4 linked regions of the Caenorhabditis elegans genome follow. The protein of the gene in region 1 interacts with the protein of each later gene in a pairwise test. Each region holds a gene or a part of one and is shown on either strand. Other genes may lie near its edges. The genes, in order: dmd-6, arrd-24, klu-1 and fkh-7.

Evidence for each region.
Region 2: the proteins of dmd-6 (region 1) and arrd-24 interact in a two-hybrid assay, tested with the Caenorhabditis elegans proteins (one large-scale study listed by BioGRID).
Region 3: the proteins of dmd-6 (region 1) and klu-1 interact in a two-hybrid assay, tested with the Caenorhabditis elegans proteins (one large-scale study listed by BioGRID).
Region 4: the proteins of dmd-6 (region 1) and fkh-7 interact in a two-hybrid assay, tested with the Caenorhabditis elegans proteins (one large-scale study listed by BioGRID).

What each region holds. Positions count from the first base shown.
Region 1 is NC_003282.8:14,614,735-14,622,610, forward strand, and holds the start of dmd-6 (DM domain-containing protein), read left to right. Parts: upstream 1-1,868; 5' UTR 1,869-1,976; intron 1,977-2,329; exon of another isoform or gene 2,330-2,350; intron 2,351-2,435; exon of another isoform or gene 2,436-2,456; intron 2,457-2,621; exon of another isoform or gene 2,622-2,642; intron 2,643-3,272; exon of another isoform or gene 3,273-3,293; intron 3,294-3,399; exon of another isoform or gene 3,400-3,420; intron 3,421-3,513; exon of another isoform or gene 3,514-3,537; intron 3,538-3,641; exon of another isoform or gene 3,642-3,662; intron 3,663-4,399; exon of another isoform or gene 4,400-4,420; intron 4,421-4,463; exon of another isoform or gene 4,464-4,484; intron 4,485-4,677; exon of another isoform or gene 4,678-4,698; intron 4,699-4,716; 5' UTR 4,717-4,720; coding exon 4,721-4,939; intron 4,940-4,993; coding exon 4,994-5,123; intron 5,124-5,447; exon of another isoform or gene 5,448-5,468; intron 5,469-6,789; exon of another isoform or gene 6,790-6,846; intron 6,847-7,282; coding exon 7,283-7,356; intron 7,357-7,774; coding exon 7,775-7,876.
Region 2 is NC_003284.9:13,978,541-13,982,306, forward strand, and holds arrd-24 (Arrestin C-terminal-like domain-containing protein), read right to left. Parts: upstream 1,978-3,766; 5' UTR 1,967-1,977; coding exon 1,785-1,966; intron 1,741-1,784; coding exon 1,635-1,740; intron 1,541-1,634; coding exon 1,378-1,540; intron 1,335-1,377; coding exon 1,225-1,334; intron 1,180-1,224; coding exon 700-1,179; 3' UTR 529-699; downstream 1-528. Other genes in the region: F48F7.6 (Zf-C4pol domain-containing protein), read left to right, coding at 1-240.
Region 3 is NC_003279.8:14,973,392-14,981,096, forward strand, and holds klu-1 (C2H2-type domain-containing protein), read left to right. Parts: upstream 1-2,027; 5' UTR 2,028-2,032; coding exon 2,033-2,161; intron 2,162-4,385; coding exon 4,386-4,490; intron 4,491-4,747; coding exon 4,748-4,977; intron 4,978-5,398; coding exon 5,399-5,488; intron 5,489-5,537; coding exon 5,538-5,775; intron 5,776-5,817; coding exon 5,818-6,042; intron 6,043-6,086; coding exon 6,087-6,226; intron 6,227-6,271; coding exon 6,272-6,416; intron 6,417-6,740; coding exon 6,741-7,070; 3' UTR 7,071-7,205; downstream 7,206-7,705.
Region 4 is NC_003282.8:5,582,820-5,587,715, reverse strand, and holds the start of fkh-7 (Fork-head domain-containing protein), read right to left. Parts: upstream 3,033-4,896; coding exon 2,532-3,032; intron 2,132-2,531; exon of another isoform or gene 2,110-2,131; intron 962-2,109; exon of another isoform or gene 940-961; intron 499-939; exon of another isoform or gene 478-498; intron 404-477; exon of another isoform or gene 383-403; intron 303-382; exon of another isoform or gene 282-302; intron 101-281; exon of another isoform or gene 77-100; intron 1-76.

The sequences.
Region 1 (7,876 bases):
AAAATTTTGCAACAAAATTTTTTTTGTGATAATTTTGAAACAGTAATTTTTTTTCAATTTTTTTTTTCAAATTCTATAAAAATATTTCTCGCAGTTGTTTTTCATTCTATTTCGTTCCAATCAAAAAATTCTGCGATCTCTTGTTCAACATCGTTTTCTCTGATCATAATCTCAACACAAGCAGCTTTTCCTCCATGTATTTTTCGAGATGTGACGCCTTTACAGGGAGGGCGTTTGATCTCTACAAAAGCGTGAGCTACTTAGTGGGGCCAGAAAAGTGCAATTTACTTGCATAAGAGTAACAACAAAAATCATAGCGACCCCCCGCCTGCCCGGCTGTATCTCGATCACGGATCTTTTGAGTAACATCAGTTCCAATTGAATATCCGTAATTTCCGTAGTATCCGTAGTATCCGTAGGCCGTAGTTTGTAGCAGTAACAATTTTCTGGATAGAAGTTTAAGAAGTAAATCTTAAAACTTGAAATCAAGAAATAAAAATTAATAGTTTAACTTTCGAAGTTTGAATGTCAAAATTTAAAAATTTTTAAAATTTGGAAATTTTTTTCACTGTTTCAAAAATTCCATGAAAATTCCTCGCCGTTTCAAGTGTTAGTAGTAGTTCTGAAAGATCCCAATGAACATTCTGTGACTCGATATCTCCACCTCCAGCAGCAGAATCCGTTCAAATGTGGGATTTCTGCATTTACCGTGTTTTTCTTATCTAACTCGGCGGATCTAACCTTTATTCACACGTACATTCAAGAATTCAGTATTTGTAGTAAGTGTAGTTGGTGAGAAATTAACTGAAAAATTAACGAAATCCGATCTTATTTTAAGTTTTCCAAAAAAAAAAATTACTGTTTTAAAATTTATTATAAGGAAACGGTGATTTTTTCGACAATTTTTCAATCCAATTTATTTCCAATTTATTTAACTGTTCTGAATCTTAATATAAACCATGTCGCTGGAAAATATAACAATTTTATGTGCAGTTGCAATAACTAAAATTTCCAAAAAAATTTGTTTTCCGCATTTTTCTAAGTTCAAGCTTGATTTCTCATTAATGGTCGCATCTTGTTCCTGTTACAGCCAGAAACCTAAACTTTTTTCACAATTTGTTACCTGTTTGGAATGTTAATATAAATTTCGCTAAAATATATATTTAAATCTGTTGAACTGCCGTTCCCGCCAAAATTGACCAATTTTAACTTTTCGGAAAAAAAATACTGTTTCAAAATTGCATGTTCCTAATTTCAACTTTCATTTCTCAATAACTTCGGTTCTTTTTTTTCCTGTTACAGTCAAGAAACTTCCCAAAAAATCCCTCAAGATATTCATCTCCCGTGCTTCGGCCTCTTTCTACCTTGAAACTCCTACATACGCCCTTAATACGAACTGTGTCTAGTTTAATACACTCGTTATTCCCTTCCATTGCATTTCCTCATCTTCACTTCATTCTGGATCGTTTTTGATTGGGATCTGAAGCTGCGTGGAAACTGGCTTTTTCGATGAAAACGTGATCGAATTTCTGCATTAAGAATCACTGATTAAAATTTTCAATTTACAGGTTCTAATTGTACTCTTTTTTTTTTGGAAATTTTTTTCACTGTTTCAAAAATGTTTCTTCTAAACTTTTCAACAAAACCTCACTGATTAAACTTCGTCCAACATTTTCCGACAGTTTTCTCTCCATATATACTTTTAATCTTTCGGTTCCCTCTGCGCACGTGAAAAATAATCGTATTAAACAGATTTCGTATGCAAAACTTTTCCATAATTTTTTCAAAAATCACAATTTTGGCTTCTCTCTTTCCAATTTACTATACAATTTCTCCGCAAATTTTTAAAGAAATTCCTCTTTTTTCAGACTTCATCTCACTTTCATTGCCAAATCATCAAAAAGAAGCCATTTTTGGTTGGAGCTCGTGTGGCTCAACAATCAAAAAAAAATATTATTTTGTGGAGCTGGTCATTGGTAAGTTCGTGTTTTTTTTGTTGCAAACATATTTAGCCACTTGAGGTGTCTAGGAAAACCGGTGAAGATGTTTGTATAATGTTAGTCGGAAGCACAAAATTAGTGCAAATGACGTGGCGGAGGAAACGGAAAAAATTCAAAATTTTGGACTTTGGAAAAAATTAACTGTTTCAAAACATTTTGAAATTTACACAGAGAGCATTGTTTTTTTTTATAAACAAAACTTAAGTTTGAAAATTGCAATAATTTTCGTCGCTTCTTGTAGCTTGGCTGACAACCACAAAGTTTTGGTTTCAAAAATATTTTACTGTTTCAAAAAGTTCTGAAATTCACAAATAAATGTTTGTTTTTGCTATGATATCGCCCTGTATTGGTCCCAATAAACTAAACTATTCTGATTAAAAAATTTTCAACTGTTTCAAAATTTTGAAAAAAGTTCCATTTTTTTTAAGTGTTTGCTCTATTCTTTCTTTAAAAGTTTCACCTTATTGTACATTTTGTAGACACATTTTGTAGACTACAAAGGCTACGTGTTTGCCAGTTCTTTCACTTTTTGCCGTGTCACTTGTTAGTCATTTCTTACAAGAAATGGGAACTTTTCTGTTTCACAATGTCTTTTTCTTTTAAAAAAGTTTGAGCTTCAGCTGAAAAGAAGCTGAAAATTTTTGTTCCTGCTTCAAAGAGAAAAACACTGAAACTTTGAGCTTTTTGTTGTCAATTTACTCGGCGATCTTTAAAGAGACGAAGAAAAAGAAGAAATGTTTTGTCTGGCGGTTGTGTTCTCTGTTTTTGCGGGTCCCCCAACTCCAGTTTTTTGATCACTTATTTTTCCTATTTTTTTGAATCATTTTTCTTGACTTTTTCTAGATTTTTCTTCTCTGGAAAAGTCACAGAATGATGATGATAAAGTTTGTGATCAAAAACACACTTTTCGACCTCTTCAGTCATTCAACCCGGTTAGTGGGAGGAGGTGGAGAGTAGGTCAAATATTTGCACACCCCGCCTAAACTTTGTACCGCCCAATTTTATGTTCATTTTCTGTGTGCCGTGTGTAGTAGAGGAGGAGCAACAAAGAACCGAACTTACGGAACTTTGTACCTATGGAATTGATGTGTTTTGTATTAATTTCTATATTTTTTAAATTCTGTCGAAAGCACTTTGAACTTTGTGAACTTTTCATATTTTTATTTTGAAACAGTAATTTTTTTCTTCAAAATTTGAAATTTCAAAAATTCGAATTCAAAATTTTAATAAGATTTTAAAAATCTACATAAATATTTTTTGTTGAAAAATGATGAACCTACTTCGTTGGTAATAGCAAAAAAAAAAGAGTCCACAACATTTTTAATGCATATTTTGAAACAGTGAAAAATTTCACTGTTTTTAAATTTTTACGTATACATAACCGCAACATAATTTTTGATTTGTATTTCTTATTAGGAGTAAATTGTTATTTTTAGTCAGTAATCAAATTCATATGCCAAATTTCACAAAATTTACAGTGAAAGTGTTATTAAATTTCAAAATTTGAAACCGTAATTTTCCTGTCGTTCTACAAGTAGTATGCCTCTACTTTGAAATAATCAAACATTTTCCGTGAAACAGTAACTTTTTTTCGATTTTTAAAATTTTTGCAAATCCTTTACTGATGTGAGTTTTTTTATTACTAATAGAATCACATAAATATTACAGTTCCAGTTTTAAAACTCTTAAACATTTTCTGTGAAACAGTAAATTTTCATTAAGAATTCCAATTTTCAAAAATCATCTACAGTAACCTAGTTATCTCCATCTAAACGCTTATTTCCTTGTCTGAAAATGTCTTAATTTACTTCCTCTAGATATTTTCTACTTATTTTGCACAACCATCCTCTCATTTCCGTGTTCTGCTTCTTCTGTTTTGTGCTCCGTTCGCCTGGTCATCTATTTCTCTCTGTGTGTGTTCTAGATCACAATTTGTGTTGTGTTCTCCAGTGTCTCTGCTGCTTCGCGTTAGCATGTTTTTCACCCAATTTTTGAGCTTTTCGAGCCCAGACTAGTAGACCCCGAGTGATCTTCGAACACCCCCCTGTGTGTGTGTGTTCCCCGCATATGTGATTATTGAACCACTAGGGACTGGAAAAATAGGAACGAGGAAGCTGGAACACACACCCATCGAGTGTGTTTTTTTTCGAATGGGAAAAAAAAAAGAAATTACATATTTTTTTCTCTTACTCTCTTGTAGGTCCCTTTGTAACTTCCGCTTTGACCCTTGGAGCTCCTCCTCCATTTTTGTCACTATTCCTGATCAGTCTTCATGATTTTAGGTTAGCTAAGGTTAAGCTCTTGTGGATTACTGTAGTACTCTTGGAATATATATGTCTTGAAGAAAAATTACTGTTTCATTATTTTCACAAGTTTATACAGTGATCATGTTGCATCAATTTGCTGTGTGCATCTAGCAGAATTACTGTGAATCATTAAATTCAGTAAGACAATTAGATTTTTTTCGAAATTTCGGGAGCTTCATTATGTAAATCATAACTAGCCAACGAATATTCAAGTTTTGAAACACTAATTTTTAAAATTTATTGAAATTTTTTAATATTTCAATTTTCTGTTTCTAGAGGTCTGTTTTTTACACATATTTTAAACTTAAAAAATTAAAAGAATTCCTGTTTCACGCTGTTCGTAAGAAGTCTTACTTTGAAAAATCTTTTGCTCTCCTTCCGTACATATCTCAAATTCCCAATTCTTTCAGTAAAATGAGCCCACACATCATCGCTACTGTAACCATCGACGACGAGCATCATCATCATCATCACCGCAGCAACGAGAACTACTCTCCATCATCCCAAGACATGGACTCCCCAAAGCCAAAGGGACGCATCCTTTACTGCCGAAAGTGCGAAGGACACGGCGAGAAGGTGATCCTCAAGAATCACTCACCACAGTGCCCATATATTCTGTGCAATTGCAAATCGGTAAGTTCTAGAAGAGTCTGGGAGCTATTTTGTTTTCAAATTTTCAAATTTTAGTGCGAGAAGCTAAACTACAAGCGCCTGAAGTCGTTCAACAAGAGAAATAAGGAAAAGATCGAGTTGGCAGCAGCTCTGAATGCAAAGAGACATGCTCCAGAATCCGGATCCAGTGTTGACGATGAAGAAGGTGAGCTTTTCCCTGATCTCTGTCTCCTACTCCTTCACTATCAAATTAGAATCCATATAGTACCCATAGATCTCTGATTTCTCAGTTGTGTTTTGGCGCTTACTCCCTAGTTCCCCCACAAATATGCATAACTTCCGTCTAGATTTCCACAAAAATGTACTCGGTTGTTTTGTTCGTTTCTCGTACGCGATCGAAAATCTCTGTATGACTAACAACGTAGACAGCAGAACCACTGAAAGATCAAGTGTTATTTCAAAACTATTTTGGAGTTTGCGATGATGTTTCATATTTGTTAGATATTTTGGAAAGGACATGATCTTTTGATTTCAAGAGTTTACTACAAAATTCGATCCCATGACATTCACTTTTCAAAAACAAAGCAACTATTTGCCCAACTTTTGCAAAAAAGTAGACTGTAGGTACCGGTACTAGACTAATCTTTTGATAGTGTTATCAGTTTTTTTCCTTTATACCATTACAAAAATCACCTGATTCTTGCGCTTTCTGATCGTTCCAGTGTAATTCGTCGCACTTTTGGAACGCCGCAATAACAAAATTCTATATTCAGAACAAGTGTTCTTAGATCGCTGAAAATTCTATTTCCTAGTTCCATCCCTCGAATCTACGAATCTTGTTTTCGTCGTCTTGATATATACAAAAATGTGTGTCCTGATCGACTCGAACCCTCCACTGACCTTTTTGTTTTGCTCATTCGCCATCTACTTGTTTTTAGTACATTCCAGCAACTCTTTCTCCTCCTCCCCCCCCCCCTTTCATCCCTTCTCTTCGGTCGCTTCAGGACCTTGCACTCTTTCTCATTGCGTCTGCACACTCTCATCACATCTGTACTATTTCTCGTTTGCCCTGTCTGATTTTCGCAACTACTAGTCTACTCGGTTCTCATCGTCCTCTCGTTTTTCCACGTTTTTTCACATTTTAAGGCACACACACACACACAGAGAGGATGACGAAAAGGCGCTCACATTTTCAGTACACAATCACTTTTCTGTGTATGTGTTTGTGTGCCCAGCCTCCCGAGGACGACTGTCTCTTCTGTTATTCGCGAATATTTCAGGCATTTCGTCTAGTCTTCATTTTCATTTTTATGTATTATAATTTCGGTTCTGTCTTCAAAAAATTGAGCTAAACTCCTTGGAACGTCTTCCGTTTTGAGTTTTAGCTCCCTGGTTTGATCCCTTATGCAGCCCGTCTACGATCTTTTTGCATTTGATTATACGTAATTATTTTCTCTCTCTCTCTCCTTTTCATTTTTCACAATTTTCCCACTCAATTTATCTGTCTACAAAGTTATGCTTTGGTGTCTCAATGACTCACGACGGTTGGCACATATCTCGTGTCAGTTCAAAATAATAGCAATTATCATTTGAATATCCGCTGACCGATGGTTAGATTGAGCACGTATGCGCGTATGCTGGCCAAACAGAAATAGAAATTCCAAGTATGTGTCTGGAGCCGCCGGCTCGACTGTAAACAGATTTCCGTCACTTTTCTTGTTCTCAATTTTCGATGTCTACATATAAATGAATAGAGATTAGAAATCATCAAAATGGCGTTGACGTAGGCAAATGGTGAATCACATTAGCTCACATTACGTATGATCCCTGTGTTTTGGTGTGCTGCTCTTTCATATACATTTTTTTTCATTTCTCTCTCTCTCTCTCTCTCTCTCTCTCTCTCTCTCTCTCTCTCTCTCTCTTTTCTAATAGGACTGAATCAGTGGGAGTAAGTGTACACAGACTATGAAAAAATAATGTAAAAAAGGTGAGCAACACACCAGTCGCACCAAATAGTGAAGGATTTAAAGATCACCGAATTTCTATTCGCGTCTCTTTCTTCTTCCTCTCTCTCTCTCAACATGTTTCGTCTCCCATTTCACTCCGTCGTAAGCCGGCGGCATTATCCAGTGCGAGACTCCTTTCCCAAGTACGGAACCCTTGTGTCCCTCTACTGATCTTTATCCGGCACCTAGTACCTGTCCTATATACCCACACTCGGGGCCCCCCGAGAGAAAGAAAGATGCATTCGATTTTCTATTGTTTCTCATTCTGCAGTGAAACGCGAAACACTTTCCATTTTCTTCTTTTCCAACACATACACACACACAATATGTTCCAATTCAATATTTCGAAACTTTTCAGGCTTCTCCCGCCGTTCCTCATTCTGCTCAAAAACTTCAACACCAGACATGGACTCGGAGACGAGAACCTCATCGGTAAGTATTCTCCACCTAAACTAGACTCTTGTTTTGCACTTCATATGTGTAAGGCATCTGTCAATAGCTAGCTGGCTTTCTTTCTCTGAAATCGCGGTTTCTTAGGAAAATATTCTAGTCTGCTCATAGCTCTCACGCGCACCTTGACCTAACAGCTGCATGAGAAGAAGACGTCGACGACAGAACCAGTGAGAGAGGGAAAATTCTGATCTTATGGTTTTTAATCTGCTCCTGCTCCAAAGCATGCGCTCTCTCTCTCTCTCTCTCTCTTCGCACGCTGCTCTGGCTCCCTCCTCACGCAGCGGCGCTCACATTTTGTCAGAATAGGCGGAGCAGGTGCGCGAGCCCTGTTATTACTTTATCTTCTCATACTCTTGAGCTCATTTCCAATCTCATGCTCAACTATATTCCATTTCAGACGACTCCTATCACTCGTTCCAACTCCACAATGCCCACAGCTAATGGTCTTGAAGGACGAAGTGGCTCACTTGGGCACATGACAGTCATGTCCTATGATATT
Region 2 (3,766 bases), on another chromosome or scaffold:
GAGGTTGAGCACATTCTGGCAAAGCAAGGACGTAAAGCTCGTCGAATGCAAAGATCTGAATACAAACACGCAGAGGAAGACAATAAAGGTGTTCGCCAAAGACTTGCCGCCAAACTTGTGGCCAAGAAATCGGAAATTATTGAGCGTTTCTGCCTTGCTCAACGTACTGTCTTTGTTAAAGCAGATTGTCCAAATGTCTATGGCCGGACAACCACTCACATTTCCTATCTTTTAGAATAAGTTGCTGTCGTCGTTGCACTGTTATCTTGTTTCACTACTGCACAAAAAGTGGCTCACAAAAAAATCCTGTAAAATTGTCTATAAAAATTCACCGTCAATCTCGAATATCACTACTCCTCATATTATTTTCTGAAATGTTTTTTTTTAAACTTATCTGTTGATTGTAATAAACTTGTAATTTACAATTCATCCTTATAGTTTTTTGAATCTACCCTACCTTATTTTTTGCCAAATGAATATTTTTGAAACTCAATGTTTAGCAATAGAGAAAGAAAATTGATTGACTAATGTAAATGGCCAGAATTTTATTAATTCACAATTATACAAGAAAAAATAAAATAAAATACCCAATTAAATTTTAGTTACACACATTGATTCCTCATAAGACGGCGGTAGAGCGGATGTTCCCGCTGTATCATCGGTCGGAGCACTTGGAACCACAGTTGAATAGGCTGGAGGTTAGGAATCCAGCCGCTCAAGGACAGGTGGATCAGACGGAAAGGTAGTTACCGTTGGCTCCACGATCGATTCAGTTATTGGCACTGTGCCGATGATGATATCAAACTCGCAGTGCAATGTATTATTAAGGGTTGTTAAAGTGTCCAACCTCACAGAAAGACAATACTCAATGCTGATAATGGGACTTGTAAATGTTGGTGGCGACTTTGGGATTTTCATCCGCAGCATTTCACGGCCAGCGGTTTTTGGAGCAATTTTTATGCTTTTTCGAGCTTCTGCAATACGTTTGCTTTCATCCTTGTGATGTTCGTGGTAAGACGAATGAGTGCATAAGAGGCCATGGTTTTTGCTAGCATTGTAATGCGAGTGCTGATGAAGTTCAGCTCGCACAAACGTTGCTGCACGTTTGGAAGCATTGTCAATGTCGATTGTGATTGGCAGGTATTCTCCAGGAGCATATCCTGCTTTGGGGATAGTTACCTGAAAGCATTAAATAACCTATCAATGTAGCAGCGTTGTACTCACAGTTATTGTTACTATTCCTTTTTTAAATATTTGCCCAATGTCCTTCACATCCTTCATCATTCTAGGAACATTTCCCAACGGAAGATGATTCAAGTCAAAGTTGGGAATAACTGAAAAATAACTTTTTGCGCACATTAACAATTTTCGAAATACCTTTGAAGTCTTCCCTTTCGTTTTTGTTGAACTTCCATGGTCTGTCAAGCTCAACTCGCACGGAATAACGAACGTGGCCGTGGAAACCTTCAAAACTAGGTGGACATTCTATCGGGAGTGGAAATGCAAACGGGAAGACATGGTGGCCAGATGGAAGTTTTTCCTGTAACAATATTGTAGTTTGTTATCAGTTAAATGCATGAAACTAAATACTCAAGATCGTCTTTTGTACATTACACTTCCAATTTAAGACTTACAGTTCCATTTCTTGCACTCCATGCAATCGTTTCTCCAGAGACGTAGTCAACTTCTGCAGAGTAGTGCACAATTTCAGTATAACTTTCCTCTTTTCCTTCACAATTACTAAACTCTTGTATGTCATTAGGTCTAGATGTCTTGGAGCTTACGTTCTGTATCGTCGTTCCCCTTCACTCCACTTCGTATGCGCAGCACCGTGAATACAGATTTTCAAGAATCGGGCAGTGATTGGCTCGTTGGATCTCAAAACAACCTGCCCAGTAACAGTTTGACCTGGTGCATAACCTCTCGGGCTATCGAACACAATTCCAAAGTGATCCATATGTTCCATATCTAAACTAAAAAGATACAAGGAAATTTAGAATTTTAATTAAGGAAAATGTTGTATGATTATAAAATGAATGAAAACTGATAAAATGAAGTGGTTATCAAATAAATTGCCGTTTTATAATATATTGTGACTCAAAACGCGTAATCAGGAGGTAAAATGTCGTCATCAGTCTTATACCGTGCGTTATTTGATTTTTGTGAAATCATATTTATATTATAAAACGGCAATTTATTTGATAACCACTTCATTTTATCAGTTTTCATTCATTTTATAATCATACAACATTTTCCTTAATTAAAATTCTAAATTTCCTTGTATCTTTTTAGTTTAGATATGGAACATATGGATCACTTTGGAATTGTGTTCGATAGCCCGAGAGGTTATGCACCAGGTCAAACTGTTACTGGGCAGGTTGTTTTGAGATCCAACGAGCCAATCACTGCCCGATTCTTGAAAATCTGTTTTCACGGTGCTGCGCATACGAAGTGGAGTGAAGGGGAACGACGATACAGAACGTAAGCTCCAAGACATCTAGACCTAATGACATACAAGAGTTTAGTAATTGTGAAGGAAAAGAGGAAAGTTATACTGAAATTGTGCACTACTCTGCAGAAGTTGACTACGTCTCTGGAGAAACGATTGCATGGAGTGCAAGAAATGGAACTGTAAGTCTTAAATTGGAAGTGTAATGTACAAAAGACGATCTTGAGTATTTAGTTTCATGCCTTTAACTTCACAGAATATTTTACTCTCTGGCTTCACAGAATATTTTAATCTCTGGCTTCACCGTATATTTTACTCTCTGGCTTCACAGAATATTTTACTCTCTGGCTTCGCAGAATATTTTACTCTCTGGCTTCACCGTATATTTTACTCTCTGGCTTCACCGTATATTTTACTCTCTGGCTTCACAGAATATTTTACTCTCTGGCTTCGCAGAATATTTTACTCTCTGGCTTCACCGTATATTTTACTCTCTGGCTTCACAGAATATTTTACTCTCTGGCTTTACAGAATATTTTACTCCCTGGCTTCACACTTTTTTGAATTTGGTTTCGAAATTCTGAAAGAACACAAAATTTGCAACAAAATGGCTACAGGATTTTTGAAAAAGTTAGTTTGACGCCAGATTCTAATTTTTGAAAATTGGAAAATCTACTAATTTTGCATGGTCGTTTTTAGTCATTCTCAAACTGTGCACTAAAAGGTATGACTGAAAATCCACTTTTTCTGCTTGAACTCCGCTAGAGGAATTTCTGTATCCGAATTATTTTTTACAGGCATATACCTTGACGAAATTACAAAAAAAAATTTTTGGAATTTTGGGAGACTTGATATGGCCCTGAATAGAAAATTTTTTTCTAAGATTATTGGTAAAGTTCGGGACCTGGAAATTAAATTTAAGCCACGCTAGAGGGGTTTCTGTATCCGAATTATTTTTTACAGGCATATACCTTGACGAAATTACAAAAAAAAAATTTTGGAATTTTGGGAGACTTGATATGGCCCTGAATAGACAATTTTTTTCTAAGATTATTGGTAAAGTTCGGGAAATATACGGTGAAGCCAGAGAGTAAAATATACGGTGAAGCCCGAGAGTAAAAAATACGGTGAAGCCAGAGAGTAAATGTTATATATTTTGTAATAATAATAGAAGAGCTTTATTAGAAAGCAGAAGAGTGCAGTATGATAGAATAGTGAGGAATGATCGAATATGATAGATTCGATCAAGGAATGTACATGTGGATAATACGTGAAATAATAATAAGAGAGTTCGAGAGTTCATGTGCTTCTTATTGT
Region 3 (7,705 bases), on another chromosome or scaffold:
TGATTATTTTCCCCGCAACAGGTGTATTTGTGCCGTGAATGCATACGCTTTCTCCGCAAAAATCACAAATCATCATGCGACACCTTCTTGACCGGAAAGTCAAGAATCCACCTGTTTTTATCAAGGCAAGAGTCACATACATAATCGGCTTGTCATGAGATCTGTCTTCAAAATGAGAAAGTTATTTCAATCAAGCTGATAGTGAGACATTTGGGATGAAGATCATCTTCTTCCCACATTCCCTGTATAATTTTTCATTTTATTTCAACTTTTTTCTGAGAAAAAATCTGAAGGTAAATCTGAAGGTTTGCTCTCTTGTTCTCGAACCCAAGCATAATTGAATTTTTAGATAACATGATCAACACCTCACCCTCCACTTTTTTAATAATATACCATTGATTTTCCGACATTATGAATTTCAAATGAAGTTCCACATTTGCCAAACTTCTGGAAATTTTAGTTAAAAATCCGTGCGTTTTGGTGAAAGATTTCGGTTTGCTTTATTTGTTTTCAGTATTTTTTCAGTATTTTTCAGAGATTTCAGTATACTGTTTTTTTTTAAAGTAGAATTTTTGAAAAAGTTAGTTCTAAAACACTTTTGTTGGTAGACCAAAAATTCTCAAAAATCATTTGTACTATTGATTTTTTGAACAAAAATAATGAAAATGTGTCTGAGCTAATTTTTAATTTCTAACAACACATTTGATTCTAATGCATTAAATTTGAAAACCCCAAAGTACTCAAAAATTTCTAAATAATTTGCTAGTATTTTTTTACTTTTCTTAGACACATTTGCATCATTTTTGATTAAAAATCAATAATTCTGAACAAAATATTTTTGAACGAGTTTTTTTCCAAATTTTTTATTTTTCTTACCTCAATTGAATTAATAACTAATCAAAATTCGCACATAGACCTTACATGAAAGCTGAAAAGAAGCGAGATCGGGCAGAAGCCAGAAAAATGGCACCGCGTTGGGTCGCTTCGGGAGGTAGATAATTTTTGTGGCTACCAACAAATGAAAAACCATAGTTGAACGCATGAATTCTCATAATTTCAAAAAAAATCGGAATGCAACAAAACAAGGTATGAAATTTTACCCAGAACTTATTGACTCCACCTAATACCACACTTTGTATAATGATACAGTAGATTTCTATGGGATTTAGAACTGAAATTTGAACATGAATCGCTAACATTTTCTCATTAAAAAAATACTATGGCAACCCTAAGTCACAGTGAGTAAGGCTCAGTGAGTGCCCTCAAAATTTAGAAAAGAAGTGATGGGTTGCGTGCAGGCCTCTGCTTTTTTTTGTTTATGCCGTTAAAATAAATGTATTGAGATTTTACGTACCTGCATAGATAAACAATATTATTTATCACTAACTTCACTGATCCCTAACTACGTAATCTAAGAAAATCCAAGTGATCGGTTAATCTATCGACCAAATCTATAAAATCGCAGATGAATCCCAGTTAAACCTTGGAAATTTTCGGTGAAGCCGATTTGCTCAAAACCTCCAGTTACGTAACCTTTTAAGCTTTTTTGATGGGCAGCAGCCATTCAAAATATTGTGAAGCTGTCACTTGTATATGTATATATATATATAAGGAAAGGTGGTAACCGAAATTATTTCTTTCGTCGTTTTACCAAATTAAAAAAATCTTAGAACTCCAAATTTGCCAAACCTTATTTTTAAAAAAAGGCACAAGGCAGTCGTACTAGGTAACTTGAAATGTAATTTTAATTTTATTCAATTTTTTTTTTAATTGCATTTAAATTGCGGAGTTCTAAGATTTGTCACAACTCTTGATTTTTTAATTCGGTGACATCATTTATCATGTTCCAATAATCAGAACACTTCTAAACCGATCCCCCTAGAAAGTTGTCTTCTACTAATTTCCGTCAGGGAGTTCTACCCGCCCGTTAGCCCATTTCCGGTGCACTTTTTTCGCATTTATTATACTTTCCTTGTGCCTTTCCCAACTTTAAAGTCGCAAATCAAAATAATGATTTAAAATTCCAGGTGGGATGAGCCAGAGTGATGAAGCATCTGTAGCAGAGCCTACAGTAGTAGTTGCGACACCAGTTGCAGTTGCAGTAACAGCCCCAGCAACACATCCACGGAAACCTCCGGCATTGGTGATCTCAACAATAGCGGTAAGGAGTGTTCCACATTGAACTTCCCAAGAGAATTTCTTGGTTTTCACCGAAAAAAAAACAAGAAGATTTTGGTCTTGTATAGTCGTATGCACACATCCTTTTTCTTTTCCTTTTTAACTCTATTTTTAGAATCTTTTCTTTATGGGCTTGGGAAAAAGAAGGAAAAAAGTGGGGGAGCAGGAAAAGAAGAAAAAACGAAACATATGGAGAATGGATGATGTATGATGTTTTCTGGCTATCATAATTTTGTAGTTGTAGTCAAAATGTGATGGATGACATTGAGAATGTGGGTGGATTACAGTTGGGAGGGCCTATTGGAATACAAATGTAGGTTTGAGTATCGAAAAAATACGAACGAAAGCTACGAATTTTGGAAACTGTTCACGAATACTTTTATTATTTTACGAAAAAAAAGCAAAGATACATTTGTTGGTCGAGTTTTAACTTTTTCTGGGTCACAACTATAAATAAGCTCCATATACGCTATTAAAACTATTCCGAAAGACAAAGTGCCGTAACCTAGCTAATATATTTTTTGTAACTAATGATCGTGTTTTCATGAAGTCACTTCAACATGAATATCATATGTTCAATAACTACCTTTGTGTCTGCTTGGCGCTTGTTTTTTGCTATTGTTTAATCAATCAATTTAAATAGGTTCACGTGGATTTTGGCAGCAGTGAACGTGCCAAAAGTTCGAAAACCGTGCGCGAAGCCTATCACCACTAGATTACTTTACTGCATTTTCTTCAAACAAAAAACTGTTTTTCTGAAAATCATAATATCATCACCCACGCCACCCGTATTGAAAAAAACCACAAATCCGATTAAGCATATAGTTCTTGAATTTACATAATTCCTCATTGACGTCATCAAAGGGTAAATGTTGATCTAATGGAATGAGGAGAGCAATGATAAAATGCAGGGGGGGGGGGGGTTGCAGTAGTGAATTTTTGTTTGGTTGGCGGGTGCATCTTATGGAGAAGTTTACTGCGCCATATCTGCATGTTTACCTGCAGCTAATTGTTGGCAACATCGATTTAGGTTATCTTTATATCATTTCTTACTTAAAAATGTCAACTTCGGGAGTAGACAGGCAACTATGTTGCAGCAGGTTTGGTTAAAGTGATAAAGTTGAAACACTAGAGTTCTAGATTTGTAGAAAATTTCGAATGTGCACCATCCTATCATGCAACTCGGTTTCCTGAGTCACAGACCATTTGAAAAGAAAAAAAAATAGAGTAAAGTATGAATAATAATTAGATGTCTCTCATTTTTTACTTTTCTGCTCACTTTTAGGTCATTTCTTTCCCCCCCCCCCCTTTTTTTGTCCCATTTTTACGCTCGATATATTTTTTCAATCTAGTAGTCAACAACAAGACCAACAAAAAAATAACGAACTGAAAAATTCGTCTTACTTCCGTTTTCCACTCCCTCGCAGTTTTTTATGCGTGTTTGTGTGGCTCGAATATGAAAACTCTAAATGAATATGAGGAAGAATGTGAAAAACTACAACAACGTTCGATCACCTTTCAGGTTAGTTGATAGGCTTACTAGTTTGTGATACCTAAATAGGTGATAATGTGACCAAATATTGTAATAACACTTTTTGAATTTCACAAATAACTTATAAATAGTCAAATTTTTCGAACGTTGACGATATTTTTTCCTACTGTTATGTTATACGTTTTATCGGAAACCCTTGTTAGGCATTGTTGTCGAAATATATATCACTACTAAACTTTTTCAAAAGACCAAAATCCAAGTACGTATTCGGACTTCCGAAGTTTTACATTTTGCCAAATTTGATCAATAAACTTAAAATACACTTTAGACTAGAAAACTGAAAAAAACCGAAATTTTAGGTTAGATGCACATGAATGAAATCAGTTGGCATTAGGTAGACATATTTCTCTTTTTGATAATTGCACAATTTTCAATTATATTTTTGCATGTATCAATTTACATAATTATACATTGTCTGCTAGTTTGAATTCTATCTATAGAAAAGGGTTTTTAATTAATCTATGAACCTGTTGTACTACTGGTCTTGGAATCTCGTGTGAATTCTGAAACCCTAGCACGCTAAGGGGAGCCAGAGGTTAAAAGTGTTTGAAGGAAGGATCAGATTTCACGTATGGAGGGGGTTAATGGGAATTTCCAAATAAGAAAAAAAAACGACTAGGAGGGGTCGAAACGGCATGAAATGAGCATTTTTCAGTGTCCGACAATATACGAGCAAGCTCCCTCAAAGCCAGCTTCACCAACAATGCCGCTCAGTCCATATGAAGGGATTACCGCAGATTTGATGCAACGTATTCAATTGGTAAGGGAACTAAAGTTTGTAAAAGAGAATTAAAGTCGCATTATCATCTCCAAAAGAAACTTTTAGACAATATCATAACAACAATAGCAGAAAGCTTAAGCTCAATTCATTTAGTTCTAACTGCTCTTTTTCGTAAACTCCCTGCTTCGCCCTGAAAATTGATTTCATGTTAAACTTAAAATTATAGGTGGCAAACCCCTTATTTCTAAAAATAAATCATAGGTGTGTATCTTTCTACCTCCACCCACAACTTTCAGTTTTCCTCTCAATTTGACCACGCCCGTCTATCGCCGAACTATGCGACATCAGACCTTGGATCGTCGGCACGGTCGAGCTTCTCCTCCACAACTTCGTCGTTCTTAACGTATCGCGATCGAAGTGTAGACTTTGACGAGGCTGGCAAAGAGTTGATATCGCCGTTTGATTGTGACACTAACTGCTCTGGAACTCCCTACTCCCTGTCGACCAACTCGGGAAATCACTTTTCGTAAGTTTTAAGTAGATATGGAAATTGGTGACAAATATGTTGAGTTAACAAGGGATCTGTAAAATTATCACTAATTATAGCCGCGTTGCAAACATGATTTGGCCCGGTTTTGGTCAGTATCCCACTGATGGTTATCTATTCTGCCGGCTGGAACTTAATTTTTATTTGATTATGAGAATCTCAATCAACGAAACAACACGTAATAAAATGCCAAAACATGCATTAAAAGATGATAATCAAATAAAAATTAAGTTCCAACCACTGCAACACCGAGAAGCTGCCAAGATTTGAGATTTTAGCTAAAAATAGGCCGTTTTTTCCAAAACTTTAAGCGGACATAACTTTCTTTGGAAAATTTTTGGAACGTCTCATTACGAAATTCCTGAGTTGATGCGGATATTTAAAGTTGATATATCTACAGGTTTGAAGCTCGCTCGGTGTCCTCGCTGGGCCACAGCACAGCCCACTTTAATCAATTGCTCGCGGCGGGTGCTGCATATGAACTATCCAGGTGACAATAATAACTCCGACTCCTGTTTTTAAAATTAAGTGTTATGCAGAGAGCGTAGCAGGTCAGAAAGCGATATGCAACCCACGCAGGAGGATGACGTGAGGCATCTTAACACATCGACTATCTCGGTGCCGATTTACGCTAAAAAACCGCTTCACAAGTTTGGCGGGGAGATCAAGCGGAGTAGTAGTACGCCACCACCGACGTCTGATGAGCGAGAGCAGGTGGAGCAGCGGTTGTTGTTGAGACCTTCGTCGGGAATGGAAATCAAGAAGGACTTGGAAACGGTATAGCACTCCACCTACATCTCAACATTGTCTATATTTCAGACCAATTCCTTTGTGAGCAGCTGGGCTCGAGAACAGATTTTTGCCATGCAGAATGCAACCATGTACAATTTGTTAACCGCTCGTTCTGCAGAAGATTGTTCAACTATTTCGACACCAGGACCTTTGAAAGTTTTCCCCAGAAGCAAAGATGACATGACGTTCGCACCGAGAGATGACTCAAGTCGTGCCAAGCAAATGCAGTACCCATGTACACTTTGTGGGCAGGTACACATTTGTCGAAATGGAGGACCCTACACAATTTTTTTCAGGCGTTTGCGGTACATGATCGATTAGCTAAGCATATAGCGTCTCGACATCGCCAGCGAAGTTGTACATTAGATGATGCTTCTAAAGTCCACAAATGCAACATGTGCTCAAAAAGCTTCTCGAGAAGTGATATGCTGACAAGGTATACAATTTTGATTAGACAAAACGACACATATTTTTTATTCAGGCACATGCGTCTTCACACGGGAGCAAAACCATACAGTTGTCCGACATGTAATCAAGTATTCTCTCGTTCTGACCATTTATCCACTCATCTGAGAACACATACAGGCGAAAAACCATACGCGTGTCCAATGTGTAATTATTCAGCGGTAAGTATGTTCAGATCATTCAAATCATTATGTTAGATTCCGCGTGCTTTGGAGTCTAGTTGATTTCCGTTTAAAACACACGTCCACTTTCCCAATCACAGCTTAACTTGGAACAGAACATAGTCCTATCTTCTGGCTGGTGTCGCGTTTAAGATTAAACATTTCTAATATTTGCTTCATGATCAAGATTTAAATACGTCTGAATCATTTTTCATCATGCGACGCTAACCAGACGTGAGATCTAAAGACTCTCGGTAAAATAATGTTGAACTGCTCGAATATACTCAGATTTTCAAAGTAAAAGTCAACACATAATATTTATAGAGCCGCCGCGACATGATCTCCCGTCACATGCGAACTCATTCACTGACAGATGACTCCAGTATCTCAACTCCAATATCTCAATTGTCAATCCGAAGTGCAACTACTTCACCACTACCACCAAAGATCGGGTCAACTGCAACCGTTGAAATTGGTTCTGGATTGTTGTCCGCATTCAAACCAATACTTTCCGCATCATCATCAAATCTTCTTTCCGTGTCTTCACCCTTCCAATCACTTTCTCTCTCAACACCACCATCTCCATCGTTCGCACCTATTGTACTCAATCGGCAGTTATCATTTGATGTTACGATGCGCAATACTACGTCTTGATACCTGTATCAGGTTCCTTCCGTTTTTTGCTCTATGAACAAAAGTAAATGAACAAAAAACTTTAAATTTCAATGACGGGTTTCGCCTCGATTACTGTAATTTTATTAATATTATATATAAATAAAAAATTTAATATATAGTTTTTGTTTCGCCAGAAGTTAAATTTTTGATGAAAAATTTTCTGAAGAAATTTCAGAAAAGTGTGTGGAAGCCATTGGCAAAATTTAAGAAGGTATACATTTTTCTTGCAGACATTAATAATGCATCCAGCCATTTTCGAGATATACTCAGTAATGGGCATACGGCAGAGAAAATTTGGTCAAGGTTGTAGTACCGTTTCGAAAGATTACTTTCAAAGTGGATAAAAATTATCGTGCTGTTCTGTTATAAAGTATTCTTATCACAAATTTAAAAGAAACTAGGAGCTCTTCTATTTTTCCGTTAATCTTTCTATCTATTCGAATCAAAAAAAAATTATTGAAAGATTAGACCGCCGGAGAAGTGAGAGAGAAGAAGTAATTAGTGAACGGAGGTATCGCTAGTCTTACTAAAATTACTCAAACTCTTGATCTATTCCGAACTTCACCTTATCAAATTTTAGCTCTTACCGAAACCTTCCTTGACGAATCAGTTCC
Region 4 (4,896 bases), 9.0 Mb from region 1:
GGTATTATTGTAAATTTTTTTGAGTCCTCATGTTTCACATTCATCTTAAAATATTTTCGACGTCGGCGAATAAAAATGATCAGGTCTATCAGGTCTAAAAATGATCAGTTCTATCAAAGTTCTATCAAATATTTTTGCTTTTGAAACAGTCTACTTCTGACCAAAAAAATAATATATTCACAGTTACAGGGTAATTGAAACTTTTCAATTTAAGTATTTTCAAAATATTTTACACTGTTTCAAAAGTGTTACAACATAGCTTGCATGCTTCGAGCACCCAGTCGAAAGTCGATGGTGCACAATAATTCATTATAATAAAAAAAATTGCGACGCCCGTTTTAGCATTTTGTCTTAAAAGTAAATTTGATTCTGAAACCTTCGTTTTTTCAGAACTGGTTGTTAATCATTTTTTAGTATTTTGAAATATTTTTCTGTTTCACTTATTTCTGTTAAACTGTATACAATCTTTCACATTGGTAAATTCATGATTCCGATAAATATACATAGTTAGGTTTTCAGAAAAGTTCAGATAAAAATAACTATCTGTAAATCTGTCGTAGTACTCCACGGATTCTATGTTTTTAGGCAAATACGCCTCCCTGCCTGCCTGCCGCAAGTTTACAGAATTTTGGTGTGGGTTCTAGTATTTTGTATTTATGAAAGTTTTAGGGGGATTCCTATATTTACATTTGTATTAATTTCTTGGAAGTTTCATAACATTTGCGAGAAATCTGTCAGCAGGATCGTTCAAGCCAAGCCGAAGTTAACTTACAGGAATATCGCCAATGGGACATTTGTTTAAAATTCTTCATGTGGTGCTAAAATGACCAATGTTCACTTTATGAACTAACCGTTTTGAAAAGTTTAACTTTTAAAAAATTCAAAAATTTTTTACTGTTTCTGAAATTTTTAAAATCTGAAAATTTATGGAGTTTTTTATTAGGATATTTGGGTAGGATAAACTATGTGTAATATTAAAAATCTCCACTGACATTACTCCATTTTCCATGTCAGGCGGGGTTTTTCGCCTACACGGAACCTTTTTCGATTGCTCATTCATTCCAGATGATGACGTGGCAACCAATGGCAGACAACTCACAGATCGTGCGCACCAAAAGAGTAGAGAGACACTGAGATCACGAGTTGTTTTTATTATTTTGTTATTCTTTTTTTTAGACACACACACACACACAGACTAGTGTGTGTGTGTGTGTGTTCCTCATCTCTCTCACTTTACCAGTCTGTTTTCGATGTTATTTTGGAGAAAAGTGTGTGGACGATGGCATTGAAAACTCGGGTGGATAGGAAATTGGAAAGAAAACACAAATACCCATAGAGAATTGGAAAGGGTATAAGTAAACAGAAATGACAACTACAGTAACCCTCCAGAGAGGGGGGCGGAGTGATAAGAAGGACAACAAACTAAATAGACGTTTTCTTGTTTTCTTGAAGGGATTTGAGCTCAACAAACTGGAAAAAAGAAAACACCGAAATAAGAATTCATGATTTGATATGGCTCCGCGAGCTGCTCCAGACAGCCTTTTAAAAACAGGTGCAAAAATCCTATTTTATATGATTGTGTATACGGACACCTAATATTAAGTTAGCATATGTTGCTTTGTGATCACAAAGTATCATGGGAACATGTTCGGAGTTACTGTACTTTTAAAAAAAGTGGTTTTTTGAGGAAGGATAATAATAGTTGCTCAAATTTGAGTGGAACAATATTTCTACCAGAAAAAAACTATTGTTGTTTCAAATTTGTAACAAATATAAACAAATATTCAATATTTTATTTTTCGGTTTTTTCTAATTTGTCAAGTATTTAAAGTCTGCATAATCAAAAATATCCGCTAAACATTTTTAAAACCCTCTGAAACAGTAAAAAACGATTCATCAAAAATTTGTCTAGACTCACTCCGAATATATATTGGGCCGGTAAAAAGCATGCAGTACTATTTTCGAATAGTGATAATTTTAAACGCATGGAAATTAAAAATTAAAAAAAAGTTTAAGCTACATAATTGAAAATTTTCACCATAAAATTTTTAGTTAAAAAAAAGTATGTTTCAAGATGTTTAGATAATTTCTCATGCTTTGCTATAAATGTTTCTGGTTCGTTTAAATTGAAATTTCAAAGTTAAAGTTAAATGAAAAAGTGCTGAAAAACATGATTCGTAATTTCAACGGAACATTAACTTCCAGACACACATATTCAGACATATGAAAGTTCAAAAAACTGAAGGAAAATATTATGATTTATGAGAGGTGCAATCGGAAATTTGCAGCATTTTTCTAGGAAGGCATGATAAGTTTGGATATGAACCACTCGAAGGAATTCTTAGAAATTTTGATTTTATTTTCTTTTTTTCTGGTTTGATGAATTTGAATCAAGAGATGTTTTGAAAAAAATAACCAAAGAAATGTTGATTTTTGAGGACTGAAAAGGCAAAGATGGAAAGATATTTGTGTAGAAAACAAGTGTGAGCAGTGAAAGAAATGAGTAAAACAGAATAAGAAAAACAACTTACATCGATCAAAAGTTTCGAAAGGCATGTCGGAACTGATGGTGAGTTCATGAGAGATTGATGCATTTGAAGAAATTGTTGAACTGTTTGAAGTGGATCAATTTTGAATTCATGATTTATTCCAGCTGGAAGATTTGATGCTGGACGGGGAAGGTACCCATAACCAGAAGTTCCAGCAGAATCAGATGATGATGGTCCTGCCAATCGCTTTAAATTCGAGTCACTACTAGTTTTATGAATTCCTCCAGATCTTAGTTCCGAAGCAATCAAAGGTCGAAAACTTCTTCGTAATCCTGATGGTTTCTGATGTAAACTCTTTGATTGCATTTCAATTTCCATTTTCATTTCTTCCATATCTTCTTCCTCTTCTTCATGAACAACGTCTATTTGCTCTTCGTCTTCTGCCAATAAATGATTATTTTGACTAGTTGGAGATGTAACTGTAGATGTTGAGGATAAATGTTGTGCTGGTGTCAGCGGTGGAGTTTGGATGTAAAATGGCATTTGATAGGGATTATTTGAGACGTCTGTAATATTTTGTGTAAGTATGCACAGTATGTCACATTTCAAGTTAGAACATGTTTAAGGTTCATAAGAAACATTTGAAACGGTAAATTTTCTTTTTTCGCAGTTTAATTTGTATTTGCAAGTTTAGATGTTCATTTTAACTGCTTGAAAATTAAAAAAAGAAGAAAATCGAATCAAATCAAAATTTTGTAAAGAATAGCTAAAATACCTACTGAATGAGTTTTATGAATAGTACTGTTGTCATATTTTGATGAGTTTAAAAAATAAAAAATTTAAACTTTTTTTTGAGCACATTGGAAAAATATCTGTCTACGGAATTAGTGGTCATTTTTCAGTTCAAAAAATTATTTACAGAAAATGTGTTAATTTGGAGATCCAAGTTCTGGGAAGTTTAGATGGAAAGTTAGACTTGGCAACAAGTTGAAAAATCGTTGTTAATTATTTCCCACAATTCAAATTAGGAACCCGAAACAGAAAATTTTTTTGTTCAATCTAGGTTTGTTTTCAATTTTCAATTTTAATTGTTTGAATAAAAAATAATCATTTTTAATTTCCCATATTTCGATTTTTAATAATATAAGTAATATTCATTGGCGTATATGAACATTCTAAAACATTATATTTTGTTAGTGTGATATCTTGTCGTTTTTCAAAATTTTTTAACTTCAATTCCAATAACGCAAAAATAGTGAATTCAAAGACTGTTTATGTTTACGACAATCTGATTTTTTACTAATTTAGAAATAAACCTCGCCAAATTTTTTTACTTTATTGATATTTAATTTGAACATTTTAGGAAATAGTCAGAAATTATTATTTTTGAAGAGAAAAATTATTGAAAAATAAAACAGAAACTAATTTAATGGACAAATGCCTCCATAGAAATTGTATAAAAAATTAAAAGAAAATTAAAAACAAAAATATTTATTCTGTTTCAACTTTGTTTGATTTTTTGAGGCAATCTTCAGTTTCAGTGATTTTACTTCAATATGTGGAATTTTTTCTATTTTTTTTTTCACGAAACCTGATCAATAACTTCTCATTGAAAGTTATTGTCATAAGATTTTAATCATAAAAGAATCATAAGGTCAAACGATTTTTAATCTATCATAAGATCTATTGATGCATCTGAAATTCAGAAACTTTGAATTTCCAGAATTTTCGCATTGATTTCACTATCGTTTTTCTTTTTTTTTAATTTTGATTATAGTCTCCCAAAAATTAACAGTCATTTTGAGAGACCTTATTCGGTCATAGACACAAATAATAAGGCGTGTGTGTTGTTTACGACGAAAGAAACATTATTTTACCGTTTCGACAGGTAGAATTATATCACATGAGGTCACTTGACTTTTTTAATTCGAAAGGGGAAAAAACTTTTTTGGAAAAGTTCTGAAATTTCGTGAGATTTTAAGATGAAGTAAAGGTTCGAAACTGGACATAGCAGATTAATTTCTGGTGGGAAAATTTTTTTTGTGGTGAAGTACTTTGGTAAAATTCCAGAAAAGTTCAGAGATCAAATTTTAGAAAATTCCAAAAAAAAAAAAAAATTAAAGATGGAGCAAAATGGCTGAGGATTTGTCCTATTCACTATAAATTTGAAAAAATAATGTTAAAAATTCTACTTTTAAAAACACAACTTTTCAATTGTGTTTTCCCTATTTGAACTCCATCCAAAATTAGAACTGCAAGACCAATCAACGCATCGCTCCGCCCACATTTCAGCCAATAAGACTTGGAAGACGCTGATTGGTTTGAAAGTGGGCGTGTCTGCTCATTGTGGAGAAAATTCAAATATTAAGATTTGGAAAAATTTTAAAATCGTGCCTCTAAATTGCAG